Linked DNA regions of Caenorhabditis elegans. The protein of the gene in region 1 purifies or fractionates together with the protein of each later gene. This does not show direct contact. Each region holds a gene or a part of one and is shown in the gene's direction. Other genes may lie near its edges. The genes, in order: orc-5, orc-4, orc-3 and orc-2.

Region 1 (6,174 bases):
ATTTAATAGCACATAGGTTTCATCAGAAAGTTTTTGGTCCTTCTAGTTACAACAACAGAGATGAGGACGGTGAGTCTTACAGCAGTGTGGTTTCAATAATTAAATACGAGATCGATACAAAAGAGGGCGCGAAAAGTTGTGATAAAAATTTTTAGTGAAATTTTAAATTTCAAAATGGACAAATTGAATAATATGGGAGGTGGTGTATGGTCGCTCAACGAATGTTCACCAATTTACAATCAATGTACGGGTGTGACCAGATTGACGTGGAAACGACTGGAGGAGTTAAAAAATGGAAAGGAGCCGAAAAGAAAAGCAATGAAGGAAGAAACATAAGAATCAAGAAAGACTGAATGGTACAAAATGTTTATTTCGGATCGAAGTGCTCATTCCATTTCTGATGCGTCCACTTTTGCATTCTGGCCCATCCGATTGATTTTCTCGAGTACGTCGTCGGTCATCAAGTTGGAAACTTGTGCAAGCTTGCTTGATTGATACTTATTCTGCAAATAATTATGTTTATTGGAATACTTCGATGATTCAATACCTTAATAGCGACAAGCTTCCCCTGTTTGAAGTTCTTATACGAGACTTCGGCGAGCAAAGCGACAGCATCCTCAATGACTTTCTTAGAGGCTCCGAGCTGTTTGCTAAAAATGTTGATATTAAAATAAAAATATAAGCTTTAAAATGTACCAAATGACCGATACAGCATTCTCCGCCTCGATTCCGTCAACAGGATGAACTTCAAGAGCGATGATCATCGAAGCAGAAGCAATGTGGGACCTTGGGGTCGAGGCCATAACCGAATCGAGCAGTGCGAGCTCTCCGAGACACTTGGAGATATTGTAAGTATAACAGAAAGCTTGATTATCGATTGGGCTGGCATCGTTTTCGGAGAGAATTCTTGAGAGACAGCGGAGGAAGACAAGCGAAGATGGGCAGGACAAGTCAAAGTTCAACGAGTTAAGGATTGTTTGCTCCATTGCCAAGATCTGCTTCTTGCTGTATGTGTTCTCAGTGATGAACTCGTAGTCGTGGATGTCTGGGAGGTAAACCTCTTCGAACTTGGAGGCAACGAACCTGAAACAAAACATTTTTAAAGGATACACAATTAGTAATCCCTATATGTTACGTTTTAAAATTGAATAAAAACTCTCACATAGCTGAAATTCCAAGAAGCTGAAGATCCGCCTTGGAGGTGACCTTCTTCTGAAGCATGCGATCCAGAATGAAGACAGTCAAGTGAAGTGTCTCAGGTGTGAGATGGAATCGAACATGAACTTGGACAAGCCAATCGACGAGAATGCGACGCATCTTGGGAGTGGGCTCTCCTCCCTCCATGAAGCACTCCTCAAGAAGATACTTTTTCTCGTGATGAACGAGATACTTGTATATGTCGTCGGCCATAGCAAGACATTTAGTCTCAGCATCCTGGAGGTTGATTCTCTGTGACTTTTGCGCAGTTTCGACTGGAGCTGGATTGGATGGCTTGAGTGCAAGAATCTCTCGAGCTTCTCTTTTCGTCTGAAGACCTTGCGCATTGACGGGCTTCAATGGTCCGTTTCCGTGCTTAGCCATCTGAATGATAATTATAGTTTTTAGTTTGTAAACACCTTGTACCTGGAGGCTATCCTTTTCCACATTATTCGATGTTCGTCTGTTGTTGGTGGCTCTTAGCATATTGAGGCCTTTCGCTGCAATAAACGATTGTTTGCAAGTTCCAAGAGATAATAAAATAAAAAGTGAGAAAGAACCTTTGATTGCTAGTAGAAAATTGGTAAGTTGAGAAATACTGGACGTTTTACAAAATCTGACAGAAAGGTTATGATTTTATCTAAATAGAACACAACGTGTAAATAGTTTCTACACGGCGAACATGTTAAGGTCACGTGAGGAGCCTATTAAGAATTGTTTGCACTAAATACAAGAATATCGACAAATGGGATTCGAATGTTCCGCGTGCAGCGATTGTCCAACGGAGCGCAACTCCCCCACACCAAGATGGTGCTTGGTGGTAGGAGGGGGGAATCGCGAAGGGTAATATCGATTAAATATGTCACCTAGGATGAATGAAGAACAGACGTTAAAAGATGAATTACAAATGAACCTAGAATATTAATAAAGCTCCAAAGTTAGGTATTTGATAACGATAAGCCAAAGAAAAAAAGATTGTTTTTGTTCAAGAATCGAATAATGAATAAAATGAACCGGTCTATGTGGCAAAGATTCAAATAGGGAAACCTGCGTTGGAAAATAATCGTTCCATTGAAGGTTTTTGCAAAAAATAAATTCTTGGCGCCGAAAAATTGAGGGAGATCCGATCAAAACTTTAATAATCGCAAAGTTTCAAGAGCAAATGATTTTATTTTCAAGGTTCGCGCTGCAATACGACACTCCGTTATTTCGCATCGCGCTTAGTTTAGCCAAGTAAACCTGCTCCATTGAATACCCGCCAACTTGAAAACAGTTTTTACTGGAAGAAAGTTTTTTTTGTTTTTATTTCAAGGCTGAAAAATCAGTCATTTTATCCATATCATAGTTTTTTATTTTTAGCAAAATGGAAAATTGTGAGATAAGACGTCTAAAAATGCTCTTATTTAACAACTCGCGAATTATTTCTCATGTCCACATTTTCGGAGAAGATGGAAGCGGAAGAAGTGAAATTGTTCGTCAACTTCTGAGAAAACCTGAAAACGATTGGGTTCGTGTTTTACAACTTCAATTTCAAAACAATTAAAAATTTCAAACAATTTCAAAATTCACAATCTATTTTTATAGGTTTGTGTGCTTGGAGACTTCCTCTATGCGGATGGATCGCTGAAATTGTTATTCGATTCACTGGCATCGAGTTTAGGTTTCAAGACTAGAGGTGACAGAGCTGAGAATTTTTGCGATAACCTGTATAAATATGTCCAATGGTAAGTGTATTTTCTTGTTAATTAAATTTTAAATATTTTCAGGCCAGACGAAACTAATAGAAAAATTGTCATTTTTCTTGATAATGCACAAGCGATAACAGACTATCCTCCTGTTCCATTACAATGCTTATTCGATTCTTACAAAGCTATACAAGAAATAACGATTCGATTTGTGACGAGTGCACCATCCTGCTTGAACCAATATCACATTAATCTGAGCCATCTTCCAGTTGTAGAGTTTCACATACCTGCACCATCAGTAGAAACTACCAAAGTTCTTATTTCTCGTGCAAATCCAAAAATCAACGCGCAATTTCTTCACGTTGCTTGCCAGTCACTGTTCATGGCCTGCAAGTCACCGAATATTCTTCTATCAATTGTAAGTTTTTTAAAAACAATGTTAAATCCATCACTACAATTCCAGATATCTGATGCGTGGCTAATGTATGATGAGCGGAGAACCGGCGATAAATTCGACTCTACACTGGCAAAAGAATGCCTCAATAGATCATCTGGAGAAAAGCTCGGGAATGTTGTCGGAGAGAATCTGGCCAAGGAGAACGAGAACAGTTTTGATGCCATGCCGCTCGCCATGAGGTATCTAAAAATACTCAACAGAAAATATGTAGTTCTTCCAGAAATTCCAGTAAATTTTTATTTCAGATATCTTCTCATAGCCGCATACTGTGCCAGCAATAATCCTCATCAATCAGACTGCCGATTTTTCGTAAAGGTTGCACATAATTTATTCCAGAAATAATAATTTTCCGTTTTTTTCAGAACCACGGCCGAGAAAAGAGATCAGAAAAGAAAGAGCTGCGTTTAGAAGAAAATCGACTTGCCAAAGATCTCGGTCCAAAAGCTGCAGATCTTCAAAGAATAATTTGTATTTACGAAACGCTTCTCAAAATCAATGAATCGACTATTACAGGATTTGATCTCAAAAGTGTTGTATGTTGCACTATACATTCTCTTCATTTCGCCTAGAAAAATTTCTCATCCAAAGGTTCCAGATCGCATCTCTCGATTCAATGGGGCTCGTGTCAGTAACAAATCGAAGCAATCTCGATATTCCGAAGATCAAGTGTCTAATTTCGTTGGAGAGCGCTCTCAAAATATCCAGGTAAAAAAGGAAATAAAATAGGACTGATATTGAAAAATAAAAAATACCCTGTCATATATTTTTACTGTTTTGTTTGAGAAAACAATAACGAAATAAACAAACTCGATTATGTAGTCTTTTTTTTCGTGCAATTTTTATTTTTGCAGGTCACTCAATTTGGAGCTGCGGAATTATCTTGAACACGCCACCTGAAAATTTCAACTGCCGGGTACAATTATCTCACTTTCTTCTCACCAACTATGAAATAAATTACATGATTACTTAGTTATTTTATACGAGATCCCACATTCAATACCGTACAGCTAAATAATCATTGACGTGGGTTTTTGATTCGAAAGAAAAATTTATTCGAATATCACAACAAAAAGAAATTACATAGCAAAAGAAAACAGGATCATAATCTGAAAATAGTAGACACAAACTGATTTAAGTTCTCACGTTCATTATTTTCGACTCCCATATTGCATCATCGAGTTAAGTTAATAACAAATCGCAACTAATAAGGTTTTACAAAGATCAAGAAATTTCCCGTGTTAAAAAATGTTCCCGTGCGAAAGTTTTGGTGAAATATTGAATGATTTTTTAAGAAAAGAAAACTCCAAAAGTGCAATTTCATCCTGCTACATTTGCTCACTGAACATCTCAAATGATTCCACCTGCTCACGTTTTGTAGTCCCTGTTATGTATGTTTCTAGTAGAAAAGTAAAAGTTGACTTAAAAATAATAGGTTTCTAATGATTTCCACCTGACCTTCATGACATTTAATAGTAATAGTAGAAGATCGGTCAGTTCCTTAGACTAAAAATATACGTTATTAGTCATTTCTGACAAAAATCGTAATTATTTTTGATCACGCTGGAACAACTGAGTAAACTAATATAATCTGAAAATTTCACCTGAATTTGGAATTTTCAATAATTTCAGAACTATAGAAATTGAGTGCAAGCTCTCTTTTTTGTGCCCTTATGACGTTTTTACAACAGAATTTGCAGAAGTTTTTTTTTTGATGAGCAGCTGGTGAACTTCAGCCGGTTCACATCATCTATAATAACCTTTTTTGCTATCTATTTCGGTTCAATTTTCTTCCCATTTTCCACTGAAGCATTTAAAACTTTAATGACTGACAGCGCATGCACAGCTGTTGATGTGTCTGCTCTTTTCAATTTTCAGCTAATTTCAATTAATGATGTCAACAGATGTGTTGCAGCTTCTGCAAATACCAAAAGCAGGTACACCAAAGTGGCTTCATGCTGTTTTTAAGTGTGCTCATCGAGCTCTGCACTATGATTTGGATTAAATCTGAAAAATAAAAGACCGGGAAGCTGTTATTTCCCCCAATTTTGCTGATTCTAGGGATAATGACGCCGTTTTTTCAAACTTTCCGAGAAACCGAAATGTGATTGGGAACCGAGTGTACAAGCACAATAGAAAATTTCCTTATTAATAGATGCTCTGTAAACAAGAGAAATCAAACACTGAAGTGGGTTTCGGAAAACTCTGAAAACACCCACAAAAATATTAAAAATCTTGAATTAAAAAACCGAACAATCTCGAATTTTTGAAAATCAGATTGTAGTTTTAAATTCAAGGTTCTTATTGTGAAAGTTGTGATTTCAAAGGTGCGCACTGTTTTCTGAATGGGTCTCGCCACGATCTAATCCAGTGGAAATTTAAGTTTATAAGGTTTTACATTCTGAACTTAACAATGCAATTTTAGCAATCAAAAACGGTTTACCTAGGGGTTATTTTTAGCGACATCATCCAATAATTCAACTTTTACCAATCGGGTTACTGTAGTTTTTACTAATTTGAAGTATGCTTCTCAAGTTTCTCGAGACGTCTACCACTTTGTAATTAATTTTAGCTCTAAAGAAGAAGTAGAAATATGACCTTCTAATTTTTCATAGTAAAGAAAGAACTGGAAAATTTGGTTTATCTGGAGAAAACCACCACTAAATCAAATCAAACTTAATTCATTCCGGCTGAGATCACAAATTTTCAATTGGGTTTTTTTTACGATTGAACGTTATAAAAATGCCGACTCAAAGAGTCATATGTGGTATTTCTATGGATCCAATGACACTGCAGTTTATAGGTCAGATCGATCTGTGGAATCGTTCCAAATTTCTA
Region 2 (7,431 bases), on another chromosome or scaffold:
TTCATCATTATTCTCTGGTTTTTGTCGATTTTTATTATAAAAATATCGTTCCTTCAGCTTCTCACAATGAATACTCGCAAATCTGAAACGTCAAAGACTGTATCCGCCACTCCAGTCAAGCGGAGATCGACAAGAATCACTAATCTCCCGAAATCAGCTCCTAAAATCGTAAAGCGAAGCTCCGTTCGCCTCAGAGGAGCTCCACAATGCACATATAAATCGGATTCTTCTTCGTCCTCATCATCTTCAGATTCTGATGGAGAAGATGAGTACGCCGCGACAAAAGACGAGCTGAAAGCCGTAGATCACGATAATCAAATGGAAATCGATTTTTCCGATGAAATCGGCGAGAATTTCTCAGAAGAAGATAGCTGCAGTGATAAAGAAAATAGAAGAGTTACAAGAAGCAGGACTCCGACAAGGCTTGAAGAGACTCCATCGAAGAGGCTTGCTCGGGAATTAAGTAAAGCTTCAGTGTCGAAAGTTTCCACTTCAAAAACTCTATTCAAAGAGAGTAAATCACCTCGAAAAGTTGAGATTTCAAGGAAAACAAATAAAGCTCGAGTATTTCAAGAAGAAGATGATGACGATGAAGATGATTTCAGCGATGAAATTGACGAGAAATTCTATTCGAAAACTAACAAAAGAACACCAATCACAATAAAGATCCCTTCAAAAATGATAACCCAGAAAGTAACTCCACTAGTGATCAGCAAAACGCCAGGTGGAACACTGAGAACCCGTAGAAGGGCACGCCAGAACAGTGAAGAACTCGAAGATCTTGTGGATCCACTGGATTCCCGATCGGCTTCAACTCTGAAAGAGCTGGCGAGCAGGCTTCATCTCTCAAAGGTGCCCGAGAAGCTCCCATGCCGAGATATTGAGTCTCGAGAAATTGAGAAATTCATTCGAGAAGTTATTGATCCAAAACGTGGCGAGAGCTCTGCAATGTATATTAGTGGAGTTCCAGGCACAGGGAAGACAGCCACTGTTCGAGCGGTAAAACTTAATTTTTAAATTATTTTTCCAAATTTCTGGTTTTCAAATTCTATTTTTCAGGTCGTCAACTCGATGAAAAAGAGCAAAAAGTGTCAGAAATTCGTGTACGTCGAGGTCAATGCGATGATCTTCAAAAAAACTGTATTCGTAGAGATTTACAACGGGTAAGGACGTCTCGGAAAAGTTGAAAATCGAACAATTTCCATCTAACAACTGCAGAACTCATTGGAAAATGCTCAAAATTTTGCGCGGAATCCTCCGAAATTCGAATTTTTCGAAAATTGTTGGCTAATTTCTGAGTTTTTTCATAAGTTAACGGGGAATTTTTTGTTTTAAAGCTTGGAAATGGATCAATTTGAGCATTTTTAGACAGTTTTCAGCTTAATCGCAAGTTTTTAAAGAAAATATTATGCTGAAAACTGTCAAAAAACTGCTTAAAAAGACGTATTTTCCTTGCTTTAAAAAAATTTCGACTTAAAATTATAAAAAAACGCAAAAAAGTAACTTTAAAATGTCGATAAAAAAACGAATTTCAGTGGGTTCTGCTAGTTTTTACTTTATGAAAATGATCTAAAGTAGTGAATTTCGTGAAACCTTGAACATTTTCCCGATAGGATGTTAGAAAAACCTCAAAAATCTGAAAATTTTGGGGTTTTTCTCTTCAAAACCCTAAAAAATCGGTTTTTTTGTAAAATAATCGTTTTTGTACGCAAAAATACTGAAATTTTCAATATTTTTCAGCATCCAAGAAGAGTACAACATCTCGAAAAAGCCTCAAAGAGCAAAAATCACAGCTACCGCTGCTCGCCAAGAGCTCAACTCAATTTTCAAGCGAGAAGATCCGAAAAGACCGCCAATTGTTGTGCTAATCGATGAACTGGATAGTCTGTGCAATAGAAAACAAGATGTTCTCTATGATATCTTTGAATGGACAGCACTTCCACAATCTAAAGTCACTATTATCGGTATTGCCAACACTTTGGACTTCCCGGAACGAATGCTTTGCCAACGGAATGCTAGTCGACTTGACAAACGTCGCCTCGTATTCCAGCCTTATCAACACGAGCAAATCGAGGAAATTGTGCGTGCGAGGCTCCAAGGATCCAATTTAATTGATCCGAAAGCTGTTGAACTTGTCGCCAAGAAGGTCGCTATGAACACTGGAGACTTACGGCAGGCTCTCGATTTTCTGTGTCGAGCGATTCGTGTTGCAGTAGAGAGAAAATCGGAAAAGCTCGAGTTGTCGCATGTGATTGCTGCTCAGAATGCGGTGCTGGAACCTCTTAAATATCGTCTTGTAAAGGGATTAAGGCTTCATCAATTCACATTGTTCCGGACAATTGAATCTATGGTTAAGGCTAATTTGAATTTGTAGAAAGAAAATCGCTTTTTAGAATTTTTACTAATTTTCGGAGCAAAGTTAGTGTGCAAAGAAAAAATTCCAAGTTTTTCAATAATTTCCACTCATTTCTCTATTTTATACAAAAAATCACCACATTTTTCCATACTTTTTTCCAGTTTTTTTAAATTTTCTCAGAAAAAACTAGTAAGGAAATCATTTAAAATTTGTGCAAAAAACCTTGAACTGTTCTGAAATTTGAACATTTCCTAAAATTGAATATTTTGTAGACCCGCGAACAAGAGGAGATCATCTTCGCAAACATCTACAAAAACTACTGCATAATCTGCTCAGAAGTCTCTGGAATCGGCCCGGCCACCGATAGCTTCGCCTACGGAATGCTCCTTCAACTGGCGAGCACTTCATTGATAAATCTGTCGAAAGGAGATCACGGAATGATGAATCGACGTGTGAAGCTGGGAATGACGTCGATGGAAGCTGAAAAGGCGATCAAAGCGGCGATTGAGAAGAATAAATCGATTTATTCAATTTAAATTTTATATTTATGTGTTATCCTCCAAGGACGTTCTATTTAGATTCTTTTTTGACTTATTTTGCATTAAAATTCCAATTAAAATAAAATATGGACTTTGAGTTTGCTGTGACTTTACCGGAGTCATTTCAATCACCAAGCAGTTTTCCACCTGTTTTTTATACTTTTTCTTCTAAATTTTTATCAAAATAATTTGTTAAACATTTCCCAGAATGCTATCACCTTCCGATCAAGAAATTGTAGCGGAAAATGCTCGGCGAGCTCTTGATTTGCTCGACGATCAGGTCTTCGGACTAACGGAACAAGAGAGGTGAGTGCCTGATGCAAGCGCGCCCCACTGGACTTGCTATTGAAAATTTGTGATTTTCCCAAATATTTTATCTATTTTCAGGCAAATCGAGAATATTGTCTATGATTTTCTGCAGTCGAAAGATGGAAAATGTGCTCTTCTTGAAGGTAAATTTATTGTCGCCTCAAAATCTGCTCTAACGACCGAAAAAGTTCGAAAAAAAGCGGAATCTTGGTAAATCTGGTATTTCTCCTAATTTATCTTTTGGCTTCAGCTCGAACATAGTTTTTAATAATTTAATATAGTTTAATGCATATTTCGGCTCATTTTCCGGCTTAAAATTTGCCTAAAATTTTAGATTTTTGCGAGAAATCTCTTAATTTTCGGTCTTTTGAGCCCATTATGACAGTGCGGCACGGTTTTTTGTTGATTTTTTAAAAATAAAGTTGTTAATTTGCTCATTTTCCTTATTGAAACGTCATCTAATGTACTCAAAATTATACAAAATTTCGCAGTTTTCTCCATTTAAATATTGAATTTTCAACAATTTTTTATCGATTTTCATTGCAGGAGAACGAAATTGCGGCCGAGAAAGCACACTTCGGAAGGTTCTCAACAAATATCACAAGGAATTACGAGTAATCAACGCAGGCTTCGTTGCCGCCGATCCAAATTATCAGCAGGAACTCGCAAAGGAGGATGACGAAGGATATTTTGTGTTTTTAGTGCGAGACGCCGACAAATTAATCACTCCACAGCAGCAAAAGTTCCTCTACACGATGGTTGACAAGGCGACACACTTCTCGTGGCTCGTCTTTTTCTCCGTTTCCCGACACGATTTCGCTCAGAACCTTCAGAAACAGGCGACGTCGAGAATTCCGAAAATTCAGGTGTCATTTGACGCGACACACGATTATGAGGAGTATTGTGCAGCGTTGACGCAGTTTTTGATTCCTGGCGGCTCAAAATGCGAAGAATCCGAGTGCTATAAGAGATTTGTGAAGAATTTGAACTTTCAGACATGGCTTAGGCCGGTTTTTGAGGTGAGATTTGGTGAAGAAGCATTCTTAAAAGCTGAAAATTTCACGAAAAAGCTGAAAAAACTCAAATTTTCCACCTTTTTTTTTGATTTTTTTCATCAAAAATTGTAGTTGTTTTTTTTTATTTTCTTTTTAGAAAGAAAATGTTATCCAATTTAATTCTCATAAAATGCGAGGGTATTTCATGATTTTATAGCCAATTTAGCATGAGATATCCGTACAATCTTACGATAATTAAATTGGATAACATTTTCATTCCAAAAATGAAAATAAAACAAATAAAATCATATTTTTCGGCTTTTCAACCCCCATTAAAGTCCATATTCTCAGACAAGTCACTACGTCGTTCTGAAACAATTGGCCGCGCAATTCCTGATGCTTTTCGGTTACTATTGTGACGTAGAAGACACGTGGAAACCCGAGGAAATCAGCAAACAGATTCGTAAAATTGTCGAGACGACTTCTCCCTCGTATAATGGAAAATTGTTGATTTTAAAAGGTAGAAATTCTGCTAAAACTTTGAAAAAGGCAGAAAAAACCCACGATTTTCTAATTTTGAAAACAAAAAATGAACAATTCAAGTTCACTTTTTGAAATTCCGCAAAGAATTAAAAATTCTGATTTCAAATCTGGAAATTGAGCTGATAAAGTAATTTTTTACCTTTTTTTTTCGGAACAAATTTCAAATTTTAAACAACTTTAAAATGTAAAAAATCATGCAAAAATCGTGATTTTCAATCAAAACCTATTTTAATCTTTACAGCTTTTGAAATTTTTCTGAAAAATTAAAAAAATCCGGTAAAATCTAGAAAAAACTAATTATATACTGTTTTTTCGGCTCAAAAATTTAATAATTCCAGTGAAATTCTAAAAATTTTTCAAATTTTCAGATCAAACAGTTCGAGCACAATGCGTTTTTCTTTGTGTCTGGAGACTTGTGCAGAATAAAGAGTCAGATGGACCACTTTTGGCGCCAAAAACTTCGTATCGAAACGTTTTTCTAGGTATTTTTTAAAATTTATCTCGGAATTTTCGATTTTTCGAATTTTTAAAAATTGAAAAACGAAAAATTTTTCGATTTTTTGAATTTCCGAAAAATTAAGAAAATGTTCAGAAAATTAACCATAAAATATGATTTTTTTTAAATCTAATTTTCGATTATATTGATGAGAAAAAACATGAAAATTTTAAGCTTATTTTTTAAAAATCTATTTTCTCCGTAATTTCAGAATTCAAAAAACTCGTTAATCAACACTATCCTCCACTGAACGTGAGCAGTGATGTCTACGTATTCCGAGAATTGGATCATCTCGTTAAAATGGGAATTTTGAAGGCAGACGAGAGCACAAATGTGACAAATACCTCGTTTCGGTGGGTTTTTTTTTCAGCTGAAAAATTCACCTCAAATCCTCTTTTTTTTCAGAAAAGTTTGGCTTCATATCAATGATAAAATTGTGGAGGACTCGATCTCGAAGTTGCAGCTCCCGCGAGTTGTTTCCGACTTTTTTATGACTATTTTGAAGTAATTTTGATATTTTTTGTACTATTTGCAATGAAGATTGATCTCGATATTTATATTTTTGTTGAGTTTTTTTTTCTGTGAGAATTATTTTCGGTTTAAAAACCATCATATTATTTTTTGAACTTGTTTTATAAAAATCTTTACAGGAGCTTCAAAAATCGAAAAAATAAAATAAAACCATTTTTCGTTAATTCAAAAATCCCGAAATAAAATATTTAGTTAAATTTTCATGTTTTAGGGGAAATTCGACAAAAAAAGGAACTCACTGAAATTTTTGAAAAACCGTTCAAATTTACAAATTTTTTCGTTTTTGAGTTTTTGAGTTTTTTGATTTTCGACTTACATTTTCTCCGCAGAAATTTTTCAGTGTTTTTGACGAAAAAATATCGAAAAACGAAAAAAGAAGTGAAAACTTTTAATTTATCAAAAATTATGTATATTCCTATATTGATAGATATGGAAAATTAGAAATTTTTCCAAAAGTCGAAAAACTCAATTTTATTTCCAAAAAAGCGGCATTTTTTCGAAAATTTTACAGAACGACCTATCGTTGTTCCCACAGCTTTTATTTAAAATTTGTGCTAAACTATAAAAAATCACAATATTATTCAGAAAATAATTTTTTTTTCATCAGAATTATTGAAAATTCGATTTTTGGTCCTAAAAAAATTACTTTATGACAAAAAAAATTAATTTCTCCGAATTTCAGATGTCCCACGAGTACGATACAGTTGCACCGCCAAATGCGAAGCGCATGAAGACGGATAATCAATTGGAGGACAAGAAGATTTTGTACGTTGTACTGGAAGGATGTAGTCTTGAAACTGCAAAAGTCGGTGGAGAATACGCAATTTTGAGCAGTGATAAACACGCGAATTTTCTGAGAAAACAGAAAAAAGATCCGGCTGATTATCGGCCAGATATCCTACATCAATGCTTGTTGAATCTACTTGATAGTCCGCTTAACAGAGCCGGAAAGCTTCGTGTCTTCTTTAGAACGAGCAAGAATGTGCTCGTTGATGTCTCACCACAGTGCAGAATTCCAAGAACTTTTGATCGATTCTGTGGACTTATGGGTGAGTTTTTGGTTTATTGGAAATTGAAAAAAATATATTTTGAAGTGTTTTTGTATGTAAAATAAGAAAAAAGACAATTTTTCGAGTTTTTTAAAAATTATTTTTTATCAAATTTAAACATAAATTTTTAAAAATACCCTTTTCCTTTTAAAAATACCCGGATTCAAAATACCCCAAAATAGTCTGAAAATCAAAAAAAAATTCACAAAAAAGAGCACAAAAATCCAATTTTCAAAAACATGCTTTAAAATACTTTTTATTGGATTTTTTGTGACTTTTCTTGCAATTAGGTATTTTTATGCAAAATCCCCCTATTTTCTATTTTCCATATTTTCAGTCCAACTCCTGCACAAACTCTCCATTCGAGCCGCCGAAACCACTCAAAAGCTGATGTCAGTAGTGAAGAATCCAGTGTCGAACCATCTTCCAGTGGGATCCCGTAAGATGCTCATGTCGTTCAATGTACCTGAGCTAACAATGGCTAATAAGCTTGTTGCACCGGAAACCGACGAGCCTCTGGTCCTTATTATCGGTGGAATTGCTCGTGGAAAGATCGTCGTCGATTACAACGATTCTGAGACCAAGATCAGCAATTATCCATTGAGTGCAGCGT
Region 3 (9,923 bases), on another chromosome or scaffold:
AACTACTCAAAAACACGATTTTTAACCATTTTTCCACTAAAATCACTCGAAAAATACGATTTTTAACCATTTTAAGCTAATTTTCTACTCAAAATTGTCATTTTAGGCCTATTTTTAGAACACTTTTCCACTAAATTCACTCGAAAAATACGATTTTCAGCCCATTTTTCCACTATTTTCACTCAAAAATCTTCCAGGAAACCGGCAAATGCAAGTGTGTCAAATCTGCGGCTGTTTCATGCTCCAAAACGATGCTCCACAGCGTGTCGACGATCATTTAACCGGAAAATTGCACATTGCCTACCAACAAATCTCCGATACAATTAAAACAATCGAACTGGAAATGCAGACGAGTCAGCAGAAGGCTGAGATGAAGCGAAAACGTTCGAGAAGCCGATCTACGGATCGAGGCGCGGATCGGAAACGATCTACGGAGCAGCACCATCACAGTCATCGGAGCAGCCGGGATCATAGAGATCATCGGCACCGGGATCATCGTGGAGAGCACAGAGAGCACAGAGAGCACAAAGAGCACCGGAGAGATGATCGGCATCGATCGGAGAGATCAGAAAGATCAGAAAGATCGGAAAGATCCGATAGAGAGCGAAAAGTACGGTTTTCTCCTGAAAACTGACTGAAAATTCGTGAAAAATTACCCGGAAAACCGGAATTTTCATCCAAAAACACGGAATTTGGCTGGAAATCCGCGAAAAATAACCTGAAAATTCAGAATTTTCGGCCAAAAATGGAATTTGACTGAAAATTCGCGAAAAATGACCTAAAAATCAGAATTTTCAGCCAAAATTCATGAAAACCATGAAATTTGGCTGAAAAATCGCCAAAAAATGACCGAAAAATTAGAATTTTCAGCCAAAACACAGAATTTGGCTGAAAATTCGCTGAAATTTACCCAAAAATCAGAATTATCGGTCAAAATTCCGTAAATTCACGGGATTTTGGCTGAAAATCAGAATTTTCGGCCAAAATTCATGAAAAAAGTGGAATTTGGCTGAAAATCAGCGAAAAATGACATAAAAATTAGAATTTTGAGCCAAAAAATGGAATTTGATTTGAAAATTCGCGAAAAGTAACCGGAAATTCAGAATTTTCAGCCAAAATTCATGAAAAACATGGAGCCTAACTGAAAATTCGCGAAAAATGACCGCAAAACCAGAATTTTCAGTTAAAATTTATGAAAACCATGGAATTTGACTGAAAATTGCATAATTTTGAAGATTTACCTGCAAAAATCGATATTTTTTGCTTTTTTCCCTGAAAAATCGATAAAATACCGATTTTCAAGTGGAAATCGATAAATTTTGGGGATTTTTTTAGAAAAAGCGATAATCTTTTGATTTTTCACTGGAAAATCGATAAATTTCGAACAAGACTTTGTAAAAATCGAAAATTTTTGGCTTTTCTAACTGAAAAATCGATAATTTTCTAATTTTTAACTAAAAAATCACTGACTTTCTAATTTTTCCTGTAAAAAATCGATAAAAAACCCAAAATTTCTCTTCGAAAATCGATGTTTTTCGGCTTTTTCACTAAAATCTCAATAATTTTCAAATTTTTCGGGAAAAAATCTCGATTTTTGGCTGGAAAATTAACAATTTTCACATTTTTCCTGTAAAAAATCAATAAATTTCCACATTTTATACCAGAAAATCGATAAATTCCCGAAATTTCTCTTCGAAAATCGATAATTTTCAGCGCCACTAGACCGCCGCCGCCGCCGTCGTGCCGGGACCCAAAATTCTCCAAATTTTTGCACAATCTTCTCTTGTTAGCTCCCCACCAAAAGTACGTTTCCTTCAGCGATTCGCAGGTGAGTGGACCGCCCCTCTAATTACAGATTTTCAGATTTTTTGGGCCTGAAAATAGGCCGTTTTAAGCCCAATTTTCGCTCGGCCCCGCCCCCTTTTCAGGTTTCTGTATCCCCGGAATCTTGTTCGCCGATCTATGAAATTTTGTCAGTGTGTGTTGATCAGTTAGTTGACTATCATCGACCCAAAATTATCGATTTTTCGGGAAAAATTATTGATTTTTTTCAGATTTCTCTATCTACACCGAGCCGCCCACACGTTTTCACCTGCTAATTATCGATTTTTTTAAATTGATTTTTTATTATTTATCTCTCTGTAGAATCTTTTTGGTCTGTGAATTGGAATAAAATTGATTTTTCGAAAATAAAAAAAATAATTTTTTTTAGGTTTTTAAAAAGATTTTCGCGAAAAAATGAGGATTTTGAGAGAAAAATCGATTTTTCGACAAAATTTTTGAAATTTCAGTGGTTTTCATGTGAAAATTTTGAATTTACGCGAATTTTTTCAATATTTCGACGATTTTCGCTGGCAAAAACTTAAAATTTAAGGCATTTTTCGAAGTTTGAAAAAATTTGGCCCCAAAATCGATTTTTTGGCCAAATTTTTGGATTTTTAGCGGTTTTTTTGTGGAAAATTCGAAAAAATGCTTATTTTTGCGATATTCCAAGGTTTGAGGGCAAAAATTGGAAATTTGAGGCATTTTTTGATTTTTGGAGAAATTTGCCGCAAAAATCAATTTTTCGATGAAATTTTTGAATTTTTAGCGCTTTTTGTGTTAAAAATTCGAATTTATTGCATTTTTTCTGATATTTCGACGATTTTCGCGGGCGAAAATTGAAGATTTGAAGCATTTTTTCGATTTTTTAAGAAATTTGCCGCAAAAATCGATTTTTCAACGAAATTTTCCGGTTTTTTACAAGAAAAGGGGTTTAAAACGCAGTTCTCATAAAATTTTACGTCTTTTTTCAACAATTTTACCTGAAAAAACCCAAAATTCACACGGAAAACCTCTGTTTTTCGGTAAAATCGGTACAATTCACCTAAAAATGCAATAATGCAAGCGCGCTCCACTGTACAATTTCAGTTTTTTCTGGGCGCGGAATTCGAATTTGAATGGGTTTTTCGTCGATTTTCAGCCATTTCCCATCAATTTTTGCCAATTTTCAGTCAAAAAATGACGCCCGGCATCACTTTTCACCGCGGAAACAAGAAATTAAAGCTAGGAAAGGCGGAAATCAACGAGGCAATCGAGTTTCCCGAGGATTTTGAGTTTTGCTCAATGGAACAGGAGAGGAGGTGGGTTTTTAAACAAATTTCAACTGAAAATTGTTAATTTACACTATTAAGTTTGAATTTGAAGTAAACTGTAAACTGAAAAAAAACGTAATTTTTCACTAAAAACGGTTTTTTTTCCAGATTTTTCAAAAATTTCGTCGATGACGTCACGAGATTCGACGAAAAAATGGCTCACACCACGGCGAGCATCTACGACACGGCAACCAACGAAATCGCCACTTGGATCCTTAAAAAACCCGGAAAATCGTCGAAAACGAAGGGAATTTCGGTTTTTTCGCCGAATGAGCCGATTGGGACGTTAAAATGTGCTCTGGTTCAGTGTAATTTTACGGATATTTCCCGGTTGATTGGTGATTTTCGGCAGAAATTACTGGAAAAATCCACGGAAAATCTGGAAGTCAGGGATCACTTGGTGACGGAGAACGACGCGATTCACGAGATTATTGATCGGATTTTGGAGAAGGTAGCCGCGACCGCGACCGCAACGCATGACGAATTTCGATTTTTTTTTTGGTTTTGAACTTGCTCGACAACCAGGAAAAATCGATTTTTCCGGAAAAAAACACCAATTTCCAGACCGCAACGCACCTGAAATTCAAAAAAAAAAAGTCGAGAAAATCGATTTTCCGTCAACCGCGACGCGACCGCAACGCATCCAAATTTATTTAAAATTCAAAATTTCCGGAAAATTATCGATTTTTTAACGAAAAACACCAAATTTCCAAACCGCGACGCGACTGCTACGCACCTAAAATTCAGGAAAATTCAAATTTTCCCAAAAACTATCGATTTTTAAACGAAAAAAAGGCAAATTTCCGAACCGCGACGCGACCGCAACGCATCGAAATTTTTAAAAAATTCAAATTTTCCAGACCGCGACGCGACCGCAACGCACCATATTTTTAAAAAATTTCAAATTTTTCAGAACACGTCCTCAACAACATGCCACGTCATCATAATTCGTCAATTCGAATCTCTCCGTCCCAATTTCTTTGCGTCTCTCGTCTCTCTTCTCTTCTCAAATTCCACGTGTCGCCGTCTAATTCCACGTATCAAACTGATGACGTGTGTCTCGACGTCACCAGCGTTTTTTACGCAAAATTGCGGACTTGAGACGGCAAATTTGATGGATTTGACGCATTTTAGGGTGATTTTCGACTACTTTTCGGCCATGGCCTAACTTTTGCACAGTGTAGAAAAGTTAGGCCATCGCTTGAAAATTGAAGAATAAACTCGGAAAAGTTGGAGAAAATCAAGGAAAATTCAAATTTTTCGATTTTTTCGTGTAAAAACTGCAAAAATTTTGAATTCCCGCTGAAAAAATAGTGGTGGCCTAACTTTTTATCAACTGCAAAAGTTCGGCCACCAGTGAAAAATCGTCCAAATCGATGAAAATTATTTTAAAAATCTATAAAAATTTATTTTTTAAAAAATCTTAGCAGGTGGCCGAACTTTTCACGAAATGCAAAAGTTCGGCCACCTGCTAAAAACTCGATTTCTTACCGAATTTATCGATTTTGAAGATTTTTTACAGGTGGCCGAACTTTTGCAGGTGATGAAAAGTTCGGCCACCGCTTGAAAATTCAAAAATTTTCGGAAAAAATCTCCCAAAAACCGCCAATTTTTTTCCAGTTCACCAAACTCGACGACATTTTTTCAAAAATAATTGCTACCGGTTGCCACGCCCACTTCTTGCCGCCCCGCCCACCGCCAAAAAATATTGAAGAAGACGATCCGGCACTGCTCAACAATTTTGACTGCGCTCCGGCCGTTTTTTCAGGTAAACAATGTGTGGAAAATTTGAATTTCCCGCCCAAAAAAAAGTGGTGGCCGAGGTTTTTACAGGTTGCAAAAGTTCGGCCACCAGGGAAAAATCGCCTAAAAGCATTAAAATCGATGAATATCAGTAAAAATCAATATTTCTAACTGGTGGCCGAACTTTTCACCACCTGCAAAAGTTCGGCCACCTGTTAAAAATCGTCTAAATCGATGAAAATTAGTACAAAATCGAGTTTTCAGCACGTGGCCGAACTTTTCATCAGTTGGAAAAGTTCGGCCACCAGTGAGAAACCGCATAAAAGTATTAAAATCGATAAAAATCAGTGAAAAACCGAATTTTCAGCGGGTGGCCGAACTTTTCACATTCTGAAAAAATTCGGCCACCAGTGAAAAATCAAAGCACTAAAATCGACTAAAATTAGTGAAAAATCGCCTCAAAGCATTAAAATCGATGAAAATTATTGAAAAATCGATATTTTAACAGGTGGCCGAACTTTTCCCATTCTGCAAAAGTTCGGCCACCAATGAAAAATCGCCAAAATCAGTAAAAATCGATGTTTTTAACAGGTGGCCGAACTTTTCATCAGCTGAAAAAGTTCGGCCACCTGTGAAAAATCTGCAAAAAAAAAAAAGAAAAATCGCCGAAAATCATTAAAATTGATGTTTTAGCTAATGGCCGAAGTTTTGCAAGTGATGAAAAGTTCGGCCACCTGTTGAAAATATCGATTTTTCACCGAATTTATCGATTTAAACGATTTTTCACACGTGGCCGAACTTTTCACAAGTTGCAAAAGTTCGGCCACCAGAAAAAAAAAATCAATTTTTTATCGATTTTTCTCAAATTTTCTACTTGCAGGACCCTTCATGAAATACCTAAAAAATCGATTTTTCGCCTGCGACTACTCGATTTCTGCACTCTCTCGTGCCATCCAATTGGCTCTTCTTCAGAAATATCTCGAGGATCCCCTCTGGCGAGAAGATGCTCACGACGCAGAGCTCCAAAAATACGACCGTGTGCTCCGTGTGTTTCTCGAAGAATTTGGTGAAAATCCGGCCGAAATCGACGAAAAATTGGCTGAAAATCTGCGATGCCACGTGGAAATTCAGTCGGATGGCGGCGATTTTTGGACGAAAATTCGCCACGAATCGATATTTCAAGAACGAAAATCTGCGATTTTTGACGGAAATTCCACCAATTTGCACTCATTTTTGCGTCGATTTTTGGCAAAAATCACTCCAATTGACCCAAAATTCTGTGAAAAATTGGAAAATCTACGCGAAAATCTGATCTCCGCTGAGCAAAACCCAGAAAAGTCGGAAATTTCGCCGGAAAAATCGATAACAACGACACAAAAAATGAGCTTCCTGGAGATGCAGAAGCAGCGCCGATCGGCTATGACGGCCAAGCAGCAGAACCCACTGAGAAGTGCGAAAAGTGCGATTTTTTCGCATGTTATGGTACGAAAACTGAGGAAAATTGGTCAAAAAACAATGAAAATCGATGAAAAACCGGCGATTTTAGTTGGTGGCCGAACTTTTGCAAGGTGGAAAAGTTCGGCCATCTGTGAAAAATGATGGAAAACTGAGGGTTTCAGTGAAAAAAAACGCGAAAAATCGGCTGTTTTCAGTCGGTGGCCGAACTTTTGCAAGGTGGAAAAGTTCGGCCATCTGTGAAAAATGATGGAAAACTGAGGGTTTCAGTGAAAAATGGGAAAAATTTACTGTTTTCAGTCGGTGGCCGAACTTTTTCAAGAACAAAAAGTTAGGCCACCAGTGGAAAGTGATGAAAAATTGAAATTTTCAATGAGAAAACGCGAAAAATTGGCTATTTTTGTAGATGGCCGAACTTTTGCAAGGTGGAAAAGTTCGGCCATCAGTGAAAAATGATGGAAAACTGAGGGTTTCAGTGAAAAAAACGCGAAAAATCGGCTGTTTTCAGTCGGTGGCCGAACTTTTGCAAGGTGGAAAAGTTCGGCCATCTGTGAAAAAGTTTCTAGGTCATGGCCTAACTTTTCCTCTTCCTGTAAATGTTCGGTCATCAAAAGACACGTGAAACCCAGTAATTTTAGAGTTGGTGGCCTAACTTTCTCAAGTTTCCAAAATTCGGCCACCGATGAAAAATCGGTAAAACCCAGTTTATCAGATGGTGGCCGAACTTTTGCTAGCAAGAAAACCTAGGCCACTTTGTAAAGAAGCATTCGAGTGGTAGCCGAACCTTTCGAAAAGTTAGGCCACATGTGGAAATTCTAAACATTTGCTTTTGCAGCTAGGCCACCAGCGAATCCAACTGGTGGCCGAACTTTTCAAGTTTGCAAAAGTTCGGCCATCAATGAAAATTCATTAAACACTGAAATTTTCACCAATTTTCAAGAAAAAACAAGCAATTTCCCAGGTGGCCTAACTTTTCAAGTTCGCAAAAGTTCGGCCACCTTGGAAAATCAACGAAAATCGATGAAAAACAGTAATTTTATCCGGTGGCCGAACTTTTCCCAGGATGAAAAAGTTCGGCCACCCTTCAAAAATAGGTTTTAAAACCTTTTTACAGAATCTCTTCGAGACCACCCTTCAACCGTACCCCTCCACGTGGCGTAACGTCATCGGCGCCAATTTCTGGATCGATGACGTCACGAAGACGTCACTGGACGCGTCCGACGAGTACGATATCGAAAATGCGATGCTCAACGCGAAAAAATTCGAAAAAATGCCAATTTCCGTCGCGTGGAGGTGCCTGCTGACGCATCGCAACTTCAAATCCGTACCGATGGCCGAGTGGGCGGAGCTTTTTCTCAGAAATGTACGGTTTTTGATGTCTGCCTACGCGCCTGCCTGCCTACCTGCCTACTTACTTGCCTGCCTGCTTATTTGCCCACAAACCTAGTTGCCTGCCTACCTACCTACCTAATTTCCTGCCTACAAGCCTGCCCACCTCTTCAATCACCTACGTATCTACCTACCTATTGGCCTGCCTACCTATCTACTTCCTGCCCTACTGCCTACCAATTCACCCGCCTACCTGGCTAGTTACATGCCTACCTACCTATATACCTACCTGCCTTTTTACCTACTGACCTATTTGAGTGCCTACCTGCCTATCGGCCCTTTATTTCTGCGTGCTTATTTCCCTGCTTGTCTACAGACCTACAAGCCTGCCCACCTGCCTGCCCAATTGCCTATTTGCCTGCCTACCTACCTACCTACTTATCTGCCTCACTAACCGCTTATCTACCTACTTGCTTACTAGCCTACCTTCCTGATCTCCTGCCCTACTGCCTACCAATTCACCTGACTGCCTGCCTAGTTACATTATCTACCTACCTGCTTCACTACCCGCCTACCTGCCTGCCTACCTGCCTACCTACCCAGGCAGACACACCTAAAAACCATCTAAAAACCTCCAAACTTGCAGGTACAACAAATGAGCCGAAAATCAGCGAAAGGCGCGTTTTTCGCCGCCGCCGGCCAACTCGAGCACATTGGGCTCATTCGTGGAGCCGTCGACAAAAAGTCGACAAATGTTCACGTTCTGTACCATCCGATTTCGTTTATTCCCGATATTTGAACTATTTTTATTTTTTTGCGAAGATTTTCGAATGAATTTTGTGTATTGATTATTTTTGGGTTTTTTTTTGTGAAGCTGAAATTCGACGTAAGAGCCAAAAATTGGAGCGCGCCCGACACGTTCGGGTTTCCGCAGTTATTTGAAACACGAAATTCTGGCTTCCCTCATAAATTGAAATGGAAGAGTAAAAAAAGAAAAAAAAAACAGACTGACTCAATGATATGGTATTCATGTTTTGTCTCAATTTTGTAGAAACTCGACCAGCTCCAGAGAAAACTCGCTCGCTTTCTGCGGAAGAGGCTGGAGCCGTCAAATATCGATTCGCAATTTGTGACAATATCGGGAATTTTGCTCGGATCTGATTATCATGCCAGAACAAACTAGGGTCATGTGTGTCCTATCATTGCCAGAATCAAAAAGTAGTTCCACCTCCGCTGACGCCAAAACACGAACATCAACTGGGGTTTTCTCTTCGACTAATCTGTCTTTCGAGCTATCGAAAACAAAAATTGTTTGTTTTCAGCTGGGTTTTGCTTGTTCGCTCTGTTGATAATATGAAAACAAAATAGGCGCGCACTTCAAATATGGTTTTTTTGACGATTTTGTCCTTTGTTTATAACTAGGGCTTCCATGTGAGAGCGGTGCGGCGACGGCGCCTCACGCCAGCCTCACGCCGGCCGGCCTTCGCCGTCGCCGGTCGCCGCGCTGTGCATATTGGCGTGAGCTCCGGTGTATGCGTAGGGAGGATTTACGGCTGCATACCGTAGTTTTGCAATTCTATTTTGCGCAACGTGATTCAAAAAGTGGTTATTAGGAAGCGGTCGACACATTCTGGGTTCCGCGCCGCACTGTACATGCGGATACGTTGCGGCGTTTGTGGCGGCGTGAGGCTGTTTGAGGCGCCTCATCGGCCGGCGAAGGCGCCGCAGCGGCGCCGAGATGGAATCCCTATTTATAACATAAAATAATATTTTACTTTGTTCGTTTGTATTTCGAATTTCGAAAATTTTCGAACACGAAAAACCGAAATATTTCGAAATTTTCCCAAGTTTCTTCCTCACTCTTATTTTCCGGCCAATGACGTTTGCTATCTTATCAATTCACTCTTTTCCAGTCCCGCCCTTCATTCACACAGGTTTTAATTTTAGTTCAGCATGATTGCAATTGTTTTTGACTCTTTTTCAAAATTGCAGGCGCCTACACGCCACTTTCAGTACTAAATCAAGCAAAATAATCCCCTCTCCCTCACTCTTATTTTCCGTCCAGGACGTTTGCTATCTTATCAATTCACTCTTTTCCAGTCCCGCCCCTTTAAGACGGCGTATAAAAAGAGTCAAGGAAGCATTACAGACATAACCCAGTTTCTTCAAGCTACTCATTCCAATTGCTCCCAGTTCCTCATGAGTGATAACGACGACAACGTGTACGACCCCGACGAGGTGGAGGAGGTGGATGAGAAGGAT
Region 4 (8,446 bases), on another chromosome or scaffold:
CCACAATTTATTACCAAAATGCCTTGATGTTCCTTCCGAGAAGAGCTTGAGCTTTTCCTGGACCATTTTCGTTCTAGGTGCTCGTTCGACTGTTTTGTATTTTGCAATGTAAATTATCCTCTTTAAGATTACTTTTCATTTCAATTATATTTTCGATGAAAGTATTTTATTCCTTAAATTTAAAAAAAAAGAGAGGGTCTTCATCACCACTTTGAGAAATCTCCAAGGCCTGCTCTTGCAAATTTAGTTTTCTTTGCGGCCTCCAAGGGTACATCTTCCATTTTTCCTTGTCGTTTATTCACAGCTGCGGCCGACTTCATGTACTTGCCGACTCCAGTTCCAACTGCTTCTGGTTTTGTTGCAGTTTCTTTAGCTTTTTTATTTGCTAATGAAGCTGCGTCCTTAGAAGCTGAAAATAGATATCATTAGTTTTAAAATTAGTAATAGAATTAAGAAACTTTTCTTCAAAATCTCTGCTCTCTCAGCTTGAACTTCTTTCTCAGCTTCTTCAAATGGATCCACAAATACTTCAGCTCTCATAATAACAACTGAAACCATCGGAACATCAGTTCCCTCTTCAGTTTCCAACTTTTCAATCGTCGTTAGTGTATCCTGTCCTCCAACAAGTCTCCCAAAAATTGTGTGCTTTCTGTCCAAATACTTGCACGGCCGGAATGTAATGAAGAATTGTGATCCGTTGGTGTTAGAGCCCTTATTAGCCATCGAGAGCACACCTCGAGCATCATGGGAGAAACCGGAGATGAATTCATCTGAGAATGGCTTATCCCAAATTGATTCTCCACCATGTCCTGTACCAGTTGGGTCGCCTCCTTGCAGCTGAAATTTTTAATTATTTTTTGTTATAACTTTAACTATTTTTATAATAAATTTACCATAAAGTTTTTAATTAACCGATGAAATTTGGTGTTATTATAATATCCATTCGAACAATGTGTGATGAAGTTTTCACAGGCCTTCGGAACTTTCGGCGCGAATAATTCCAGATTCAATGGCCCAAAATTTGTAACAAGCCGCACAAAAGCATTTTTCTTAACTCGGCTGTACCGAACTGTATCATTATCCAAAACAGCTGCTTTATTGCTTGTAACTGGAGCCATTACAGTGGATGTGAATCCAGCTGCGACTTTTCCTTGACTATAATGTGCTGCATTGATCTCATCGGCAGTTTCATCAGTTTCTGTGGAGCTCTTCTTTGGGACATATTCCTTATCCAATTGATCAAGAACTGATTTGCAAGCATTATTCATTCGTCGAATGTAGAATTTTGGATCTTTCATTGCATCTTTTTCTTTTTTAATCTCTTCTGACGTCTTTAAATCAAGCTTCACGTGTAGAAACTGCTCCATATTGAATTTTTCCAAATGATTTGGGTCTTGAAGATCAATTATATCAGCTCTTGTGAACGGAACATCGGTTAGAAGATCCTTGAGATGATTTCTTTTTAAATTCAATTCTTGCACGGCTTCATGAGAATAGACGTTTCCGGAAGTAGCGATGGCCAGAATATGACTGTGGTCCGTGAATGTTCTGAATGTAACTGGGCATCGGAACTTTCCATCTTCTCCTTTATCGAATTTCAAGTGGATTAGATCCTTGGCAACCAACGGTTTTCCTGTACACGGGTTTTTGCCATGCTTCTTCAAGTAAGGAACGATAGCACTGAAAATTTTTTAATAAAAAGTAAAAAAAATAAACAGAAATTTACGTTAAATCGAAAATTTCTCCTGATCTTGCGCAAACTGGGTCTTCAAACGGTAGAAGTGACAGCGAGCAATGGTTGATGGGTAACCTTTTGAACTGTGCTCTTTGGAGTCTTGTTCCAGTATCTGAAATATGAAATTAAATCTTGTTTTTATTTATAACTCGTGTTTAAATAAAAACCATCTTTATGTCCTCCAATCGATTTCCATTCAGAAGTGGTCAGATAGAGTTTATCTTTCTGATGTTGCTTTTTTCCCATTTTATCTGAAAATAATACAAATAAATACTAGTTACATTTATGTAGTTATTAAGCTTAATTAAAATGCCGATTGTTAAAAATTGCGAAAACAAATCGGCTCGTAAATCTACACGAAAACCTAGGCCGGCGGCCGCCAGCCACCTCGGGTCTCGCCACGATCACATGTCGATTTACGCGCTCAATTTCATTGACTATTGACGTGGATTATCTTGTTTCTCAATGTTTTTCCTCCATTTAAATTGTTTTTCAGAGATAAATTTTTAATTTTATAGGTAATATTAGCAAAAGAGAGGATTTGCAATAAGATGGCAGACTTTGACACTGTAAGTTTCATTTGCAGCTTATTATTGAAGTTTTTTTTTTTTAACTAAAAAGCGAAATTTCAGAATCCAACTTCTCTGTACAGTATCAAAGGAATTGTGATTCTTGATCAGGATGGAAACCGTGTTCTTGCCAAGGTTTGTCGTTTATTTCACAATTACCATACAAAAAACTCGAAAAAATATCGATTTTCAGTACTACGACCGTACAACCTTTGGAACTGTCAAGGAGCAAAAAGCTTTCGAGAAAAGTCTCTTCTCGAAAACTTCCCGCAACACTTCAGGTTTGGCTGATTTTTTTTTGATGAAAACAATAAAAATTAAACATTTTAAGCCGATATCCTGCTTCTCGACGGAGTGACTTGCTTGTACCGCTCGAACGTTGATCTGTACTTCTACGTGCTCGGATCGACCCGCGAGAATGAGCTTTTCCTCGACGCAACTCTCACCTGTCTCTACGATGCTGTGTCTGTCGTTCTTCGCAAAAACGTCGAGAAGAAGGCTCTCATCGATTCCATGGACACTATCATGCTGATTATTGACGAAATCTGTGATGAAGGGTTATTTTTTTTTATTTCTAAAAGTATTCAACTGATTTAAAATAATTATTACAGAATTATCATGGAAACTGACGCCCAGGCTGTCGTCCAAAGAACCGCTCTCAAATCCGACGAAGTCTCATTCTCCGATCAATCCGTATCACAAATCGGCTTCTCGTTCATGAAATCTGCCAACGAGCAGTTCAAATGGTCTCTTCTCAAGTAAATGGAATTCTATAAATTATTTAATTTAAAATGTGATATTTATAATCTCTCCAATACTCTTTTGTGAATTAAAATGAATAAACCTCGGATAAAATGGTGTTTTCATTGTAAAAATTGTTGATTTTGTGCTGTTTTTGTTGAGTTTTTGGTTCGTTTTCTTAACGCCTAACTATATTTTCAGTTTAAAGCTTAACATTTCCTGCATGAATCTAAATATCTATTTTTCAATTTTAATTTCAGAAAATGCCACGGCCAAAAATTTTGAAACGAGCAACTGTCCAGCCCAGTGCCGCCGTTCCTGTGAAAAAATCGACTCCAGAAAAAGAAGGATCCAGACAGAAAAAGACGAATGGAAAAGAGAATGCTTCTAGAAATTTGCAATCAAATTTAGAAGAAGATTTGGAACAACTGGGCTTCGAGTATGTATCTATTATCCAGATGAATTCTTGAGCAAAACCGGGTCTCGACACGGCAATTTTTGTTGAAAACAAAACGGGGGTGCGTCTATAAGGAGTGCTGTATTATCACAATATGTGTTCTTAAAGGCGCACAGATCTATTCAGGCGGGTCTCTGCGCGGAAAACAGTATCGTAGTATTTTCTTTTTCTTTAAATTTTTCCGGTTTTTTAATAGAATAATAGAAGGAGAACTAAATACAAAAAACGGAGTAATTTCTTGAAAAATGAAAGTAAAAAACTACCATAAAATTTAAAAGTTTTTCGCGCGCCGAGACTCATCTGAATGATTCGGTGCGCCTTTAATAATGGTAGGCCAAAATTTCGTTGCGGAATTTCCATCGATTTTTCATTGTTTTTTGTTAAAATTTTTTTTAAATAAACAAAAAACTAGGATAATTAAAAGCGCATGAATTTTAACGAACAATCGATAAAAATTCCACAGTTTGAAACTACAGTACTCTTTAAAGGCGCACACCCGTTTGTAATTCAAAAAAAATTGTCGTGCCGAGACCGGGAATTTTGGCGCAAAAATTAGAAAATCTTCCATCTAGCTAAAAATAAGTACATTTTCGAAGCAAATCAATCATTTTTCCAGGGATGAAACTGTATCAATGGCTCAATCAGCAATCGAAAATTACTTTATGCAAGGAAAATCGGCGTCAGAACGAATGAATAATGCGAAATCCCGTCGTGGAAGACGTGCTGGAAATGGAAATACTGAAGAAATTGAGGAAGACGATGAGATCAGTAATGCTATCACTGATTTCACAAAATGTGATCTCCCTGGACTTCGAAATTATATTACCAAAAAAGATAACACGGAATTCGAAAAACGATTGGAGCATCTCGCGGATAATGATTTCGGAAAATGGAAGCTTTACCTAGCAGCTGGATTTAATATTCTTTTGCACGGTGTCGGTTCGAAGCGTGATGTTCTCACAGAATTTGAGAATGAGCTATCCGATTATACATATATGAGAGTGGATGCACGGAAAGATGGGCTCAATGTAAAAGTTCTTCTTGGAGCTATCAATGAGAATATGAAGCTGAATTGTAATGTGAAGAGAGGCCAATCTACGATTAGTTGGGCTCGATCTATTCGCAGAAAAATGAATAGCCAACAGTTGATTCTTATCATTGATAATATTGAAGCTCCTGATTGGAGGTGAGGGGAATTCGCTTTTATTTATGTATAAAAAATTAATTTTAATTAATTTCAGAAGTGATCAAGAAGCATTTTGCGAACTTCTTGAGAATCGGGATTCGGTGAAATTGATTGCTACAGTTGATCACATTTACTCGACGTTCATCTGGAATTCGGTGGGTATCTAAAATTTTAATTTTCGAAAAACAGAAAATTATATTTTTTTGTTATTTAAAATTATTTTTTTCTGTAGAAATTTATATATTTTAGTATGTTTTTTGTTCATAAATATAATAAAAATTTGACAGAGAGAAAAATAAGAGAAAATAAGAAAATCTTAAAAAAATCGAATTAATATTTAATCTGAAAACGGCAAAAAATCGAAAAAAAAACAATTTTGAAAAACAGTCAAATTTATGGCAAAAAAATTTTAAAAAAATCGCTACAGTTGATGGCATTTACTCGAATTATAACCCACTAAAAACATTAAATTTTTGAAAATAACGATTTTTAGATTTTTTTTTAGATTTTCCGAAAAATAGCTTTCAAATAAAATAAAATATATTGTAAAAATGTTTAGTCAATTTTCTTTTGAAATTCTCAATTTTTCCGGAAAAATCAAACAAATTTTTTCTACTTTAAAAAAAAACAAGAAAAATTAGAAAAAACAAACATTCTTAAAAAACATTTTTATTAATGCCAAAAATATGGTTCTAAAATGAAAAATATTTATTATAAACTTTTTTGAAATAATTTTGAATTAAAAACTTTTTATTCATAAAGGCATGGTATAATTTTAGAAATGTAACAAAAAAAATTGTAATTTTTCTATTCTAAATGTGTTTTTATAATTTGTATTTGAATATTCCAGAGGTTCAAAAATATTTTAAAAATTAGAAAAGTTATTTCCAGTTATTTATCTTTTTTTATTTCAGCGTCAACTATCATCACTCTCATTCGTTCACATCACAATCAACACCTTCGAAATTCCACTTCAAGAATTAATGACTGGAGATTCTCGTCTTCTTGGTCTTGATGCTCGTTCGAATCAATCCTCTCATACAATGTCATCGCTTGATGTGTTCTGGAAATCTCTTGCCGTCAATTCACAAAAATTATTCCGTCTCTTTTTCCAAATGTACTTTGACACCAAGAAGCCTGTCAAATTCTGGGATTTGTTCAATGCGGCAAAGTGAGTGGAAAAAATAAATTTTTTCGATTTTTCAGTTTTCTTAAAGCAAAAAATTCAAAACTGGGAATATTTGAAAAAAAAATTCGATTTTTCCCCTTTTTTAAGCATAACCAAAAAACGGAAACTTTGTTTAAAAAACCGAAAAAATCATAAATAATAGCAACCTTTAAAAAACTTTGATTTTTAGAGTTTTTGAGCAAAAAAAACTGAAAAACTAATTATTTTTGATGTTTTTGGTTTTGGGCAGAGCGGGAAATTTTTTTAATTGAAAATACCGACAAAAAAATCTAATTTTTTTCGATTTTTCAATTTTTTAAAGGCCAAACCGAAAAACCTGCAAGCTTGCACAAAGGATGCCCCGAAATATTTTTCGATTTTCGGTTTTTTTTGTGCACAACCAAAAAATTTGAAAAAAAAACCCAAAAACACTAATTTTCGTTCAAAAAAACCGAAAAAAATCTGAAAAAACTTCAAAATTGGTAATTTTTTGAAATAATTTTTTTTGTTTTTCGATTTAAAAAATCCTAAAAATTCCAGAGATGATTTCATTGCTTCAACTGACGCTGCTCTTCGAACCCAACTTGTCGAATTCAAGGATCATCGGGTTTTGAAGTGAGTATCCCCCCCCCCCCCCCAAATAGATAAATTCTCATCTTCCAACCAGATGTCGTTTGCTTATTCAAATATTTCAATTTCAATTCCAAAATTTCTCCAGGTGGACCCGTGGTGATGACGGAAACGATCAGCTGTCGGGCATTGTCGAATTACGATTAGTGACCGAATTTCTCGAATCGAAGAACATGCCGTTAGACGAAAAGAAAGACGAGTAGCTGCTGCTACTGCTGGAGGACCTCAAAAATGAACACACTCTGCCTCCTTTTGACTCAATGTATTTACCTTCAATTGTTTTATTTGTTGACTCTGCGCCCCCCGTCCGTCCGTCGATGCTTCTTCATCCCATTTTTTTTTACTTCAATTGAAACCTCAATCTTCACTTACTCTCATCTGAACGCTCATATTTAAGGCAATAATTTTCATTTTCAAATATATCAATTGAAACCTTTATCTACCGTAATACCAATTTTGTGTACCTTTTCAAAAATCTCATTTCCCCCTCGGTTTTTTCTTCACGATTTCTCAATTATTTTCAGTTTCTCACTATCAGTTTCACATTCCCATATTTGAATGAATCTCATTTTCCAAGTTTTCCCTCTCTCACCATCAAAAACCAAATCCTCTCCCTAGAGTTTCATGGATGTAGTAATATGATACTCTTTCCTGCTCGCCTTCCCCCCAAAAATGGGCTCACAGGTGCCTTTGTTCTAGCTTTTTTAATTGGAAAATTCGGATTTTCCTCGCACATTCTCCCCTAACTTTTTTGATAGAAGCTTTTTGAAATGACAAAATTTTTGTGTGTCTTGGAAGTTTTTGTGTCACTTTTTTCTGTCAAAAATGTCTCCATAGAAGCTCGCAGAGATTAACGATGAGCACTTCCGGCCCACTAGGCTCAGAAGAGCAGTATATCATGTTCCTTTTCTCTTTTTTTTTGCTTGCTGACTCAAGTCAATCAGTATTTAGGCAACAAGGACGAGAAGGACTTTGAATATTTGAATGCGATGAGCATTTTTAAACTTTTTTTTGTTTTTTTTTCATATTATCGCTCTCAGGAACAAGAGAATTTCGAACTCTACAGGAACTGGATCTCAATATTATGGGGACGCAGAACGCGCTCCACGGCCAATTGGAAATGCCCCGCCCCGGAACCATGGGTCTCGTTAGGTGTTTGGCGAGAAAACCGGGAATTCAAACTTTTCCTAATAGTCTCGTTTATTTTTTATTATATTTTCCGTTGTTTCAATGGTTTTTATGCCAATATTGATATAATAAAATTCAAAAACTTCATATGAATTTTTAAAACATCAAGACCCATATAAAAATTACTAAAACCAATGTAAAACATATTTAAAAAATCGTCGAAAAATGATTTAAACATTCGAATTTCGAATTCCCGGTTTTCCTAATATTACCTAACGAGACCCATCCTACTGGGGCGGATCGTTCCGTTGGCCTTAGAGCGCGTTTACGCGTAGACATCAAAAATGGTCAAGATCAAAAATTGTCAGAGAACCCTCTATATAAGTGTCAGTTTTTGTGTCATTCTTCTATGAATTTTGAATTTCTTTGCACTTGTACTTTTCAACTTTCTCTCTTCGTTTTGGCAGAAACTGAAAAAAAAAACTTTTTTCTACAAAGTTTCGTACTTTAATAAAGCTTTCAAATATTTGTATTAACCCACGTGTGGGCGTTCGAAATTGCTCTAAAAGTTCTAAATTGTACTTGCTTATTAAAAATGAGTTTGGACAAAAAATCCCCGCTGGCGCTGCTCCACCTTTACATGAGCACGTGAGTTCCTGTTCGACCCCTCATCATATTTTAATCCAAAACCGTCACGCGCAAATGGTATAAAAGAGCCATGAATCTATCAGGATGGGTCTTGAAGCGAAAAGTTCCGAAAGGCTTTCTCAATCTAGTCGGAAGTTGAAGCAAATTTGTTATAGTCTTATTATTTTCTAAATTCAATTTTTCG

What was found.
Region 2: the proteins of orc-5 (region 1) and orc-4 purify together in Caenorhabditis elegans (affinity purification with mass spectrometry, with the first as the bait; one study listed by BioGRID). This does not show direct contact.
Region 3: the proteins of orc-5 (region 1) and orc-3 purify together in Caenorhabditis elegans (affinity purification with mass spectrometry, with the first as the bait; one study listed by BioGRID). This does not show direct contact.
Region 4: the proteins of orc-5 (region 1) and orc-2 purify together in Caenorhabditis elegans (affinity purification with mass spectrometry; one study listed by BioGRID). This does not show direct contact.

Annotation. Positions count from the first base shown.
Region 1 is NC_003282.8:10,730,965-10,737,138, reverse strand, and holds orc-5 (Origin recognition complex subunit 5 C-terminal domain-containing protein), read left to right. Parts: upstream 1-2,550; 5' UTR 2,551-2,560; coding exon 2,561-2,704; intron 2,705-2,781; coding exon 2,782-2,921; intron 2,922-2,963; coding exon 2,964-3,300; intron 3,301-3,345; coding exon 3,346-3,518; intron 3,519-3,584; coding exon 3,585-3,654; intron 3,655-3,701; coding exon 3,702-3,872; intron 3,873-3,934; coding exon 3,935-4,044; intron 4,045-4,190; coding exon 4,191-4,236; 3' UTR 4,237-4,307; downstream 4,308-6,174. Other genes in the region: cyb-1 (G2/mitotic-specific cyclin-B1), read right to left, coding at 387-503, 548-650, 697-1,083, 1,163-1,581, 1,624-1,683.
Region 2 is NC_003281.10:10,643,068-10,650,498, forward strand, and holds orc-4 (ORC (Origin Recognition Complex) subunit), read left to right. Parts: upstream 1-3,102; 5' UTR 3,103-3,103; coding exon 3,104-3,201; intron 3,202-3,282; coding exon 3,283-3,347; intron 3,348-3,749; exon of another isoform or gene 3,750-3,750; coding exon 3,751-4,223; intron 4,224-4,550; coding exon 4,551-4,719; intron 4,720-5,110; coding exon 5,111-5,224; intron 5,225-5,449; coding exon 5,450-5,591; intron 5,592-5,643; coding exon 5,644-5,746; 3' UTR 5,747-5,794; downstream 5,795-7,431. Other genes in the region: orc-1 (Origin recognition complex subunit 1), read left to right, coding at 67-999, 1,060-1,163, 1,741-2,350, 2,629-2,892; emg-1 (Ribosomal RNA small subunit methyltransferase nep-1), read left to right, coding at 6,452-6,818, 7,156-7,431.
Region 3 is NC_003281.10:1,205,140-1,215,062, forward strand, and holds orc-3 (ORC_WH_C domain-containing protein), read left to right. Parts: upstream 1-2,993; 5' UTR 2,994-3,000; coding exon 3,001-3,122; intron 3,123-3,242; coding exon 3,243-3,585; intron 3,586-4,047; coding exon 4,048-4,269; intron 4,270-4,754; coding exon 4,755-4,902; intron 4,903-5,757; coding exon 5,758-6,359; intron 6,360-7,446; coding exon 7,447-7,695; intron 7,696-8,307; coding exon 8,308-8,460; 3' UTR 8,461-8,511; downstream 8,512-9,923. Other genes in the region: Y119D3B.12 (LUC7 related splicing factor homolog), read left to right, coding at 198-610, 1,714-1,722; Y119D3B.21 (Protein KRI1 homolog), read left to right, coding at 9,861-9,923.
Region 4 is NC_003280.10:10,870,626-10,879,071, forward strand, and holds orc-2 (Origin recognition complex subunit 2), read left to right. Parts: upstream 1-3,305; 5' UTR 3,306-3,308; coding exon 3,309-3,484; intron 3,485-4,118; coding exon 4,119-4,688; intron 4,689-4,743; coding exon 4,744-4,843; intron 4,844-5,602; coding exon 5,603-5,859; intron 5,860-6,396; coding exon 6,397-6,471; intron 6,472-6,574; coding exon 6,575-6,689; 3' UTR 6,690-7,309; downstream 7,310-8,446. Other genes in the region: cyn-4 (Peptidyl-prolyl cis-trans isomerase 4), read right to left, coding at 204-409, 459-837, 894-1,680, 1,727-1,847, 1,903-1,981; copz-1 (putative coatomer subunit zeta), read left to right, coding at 2,287-2,304, 2,368-2,439, 2,498-2,585, 2,636-2,861, 2,916-3,066.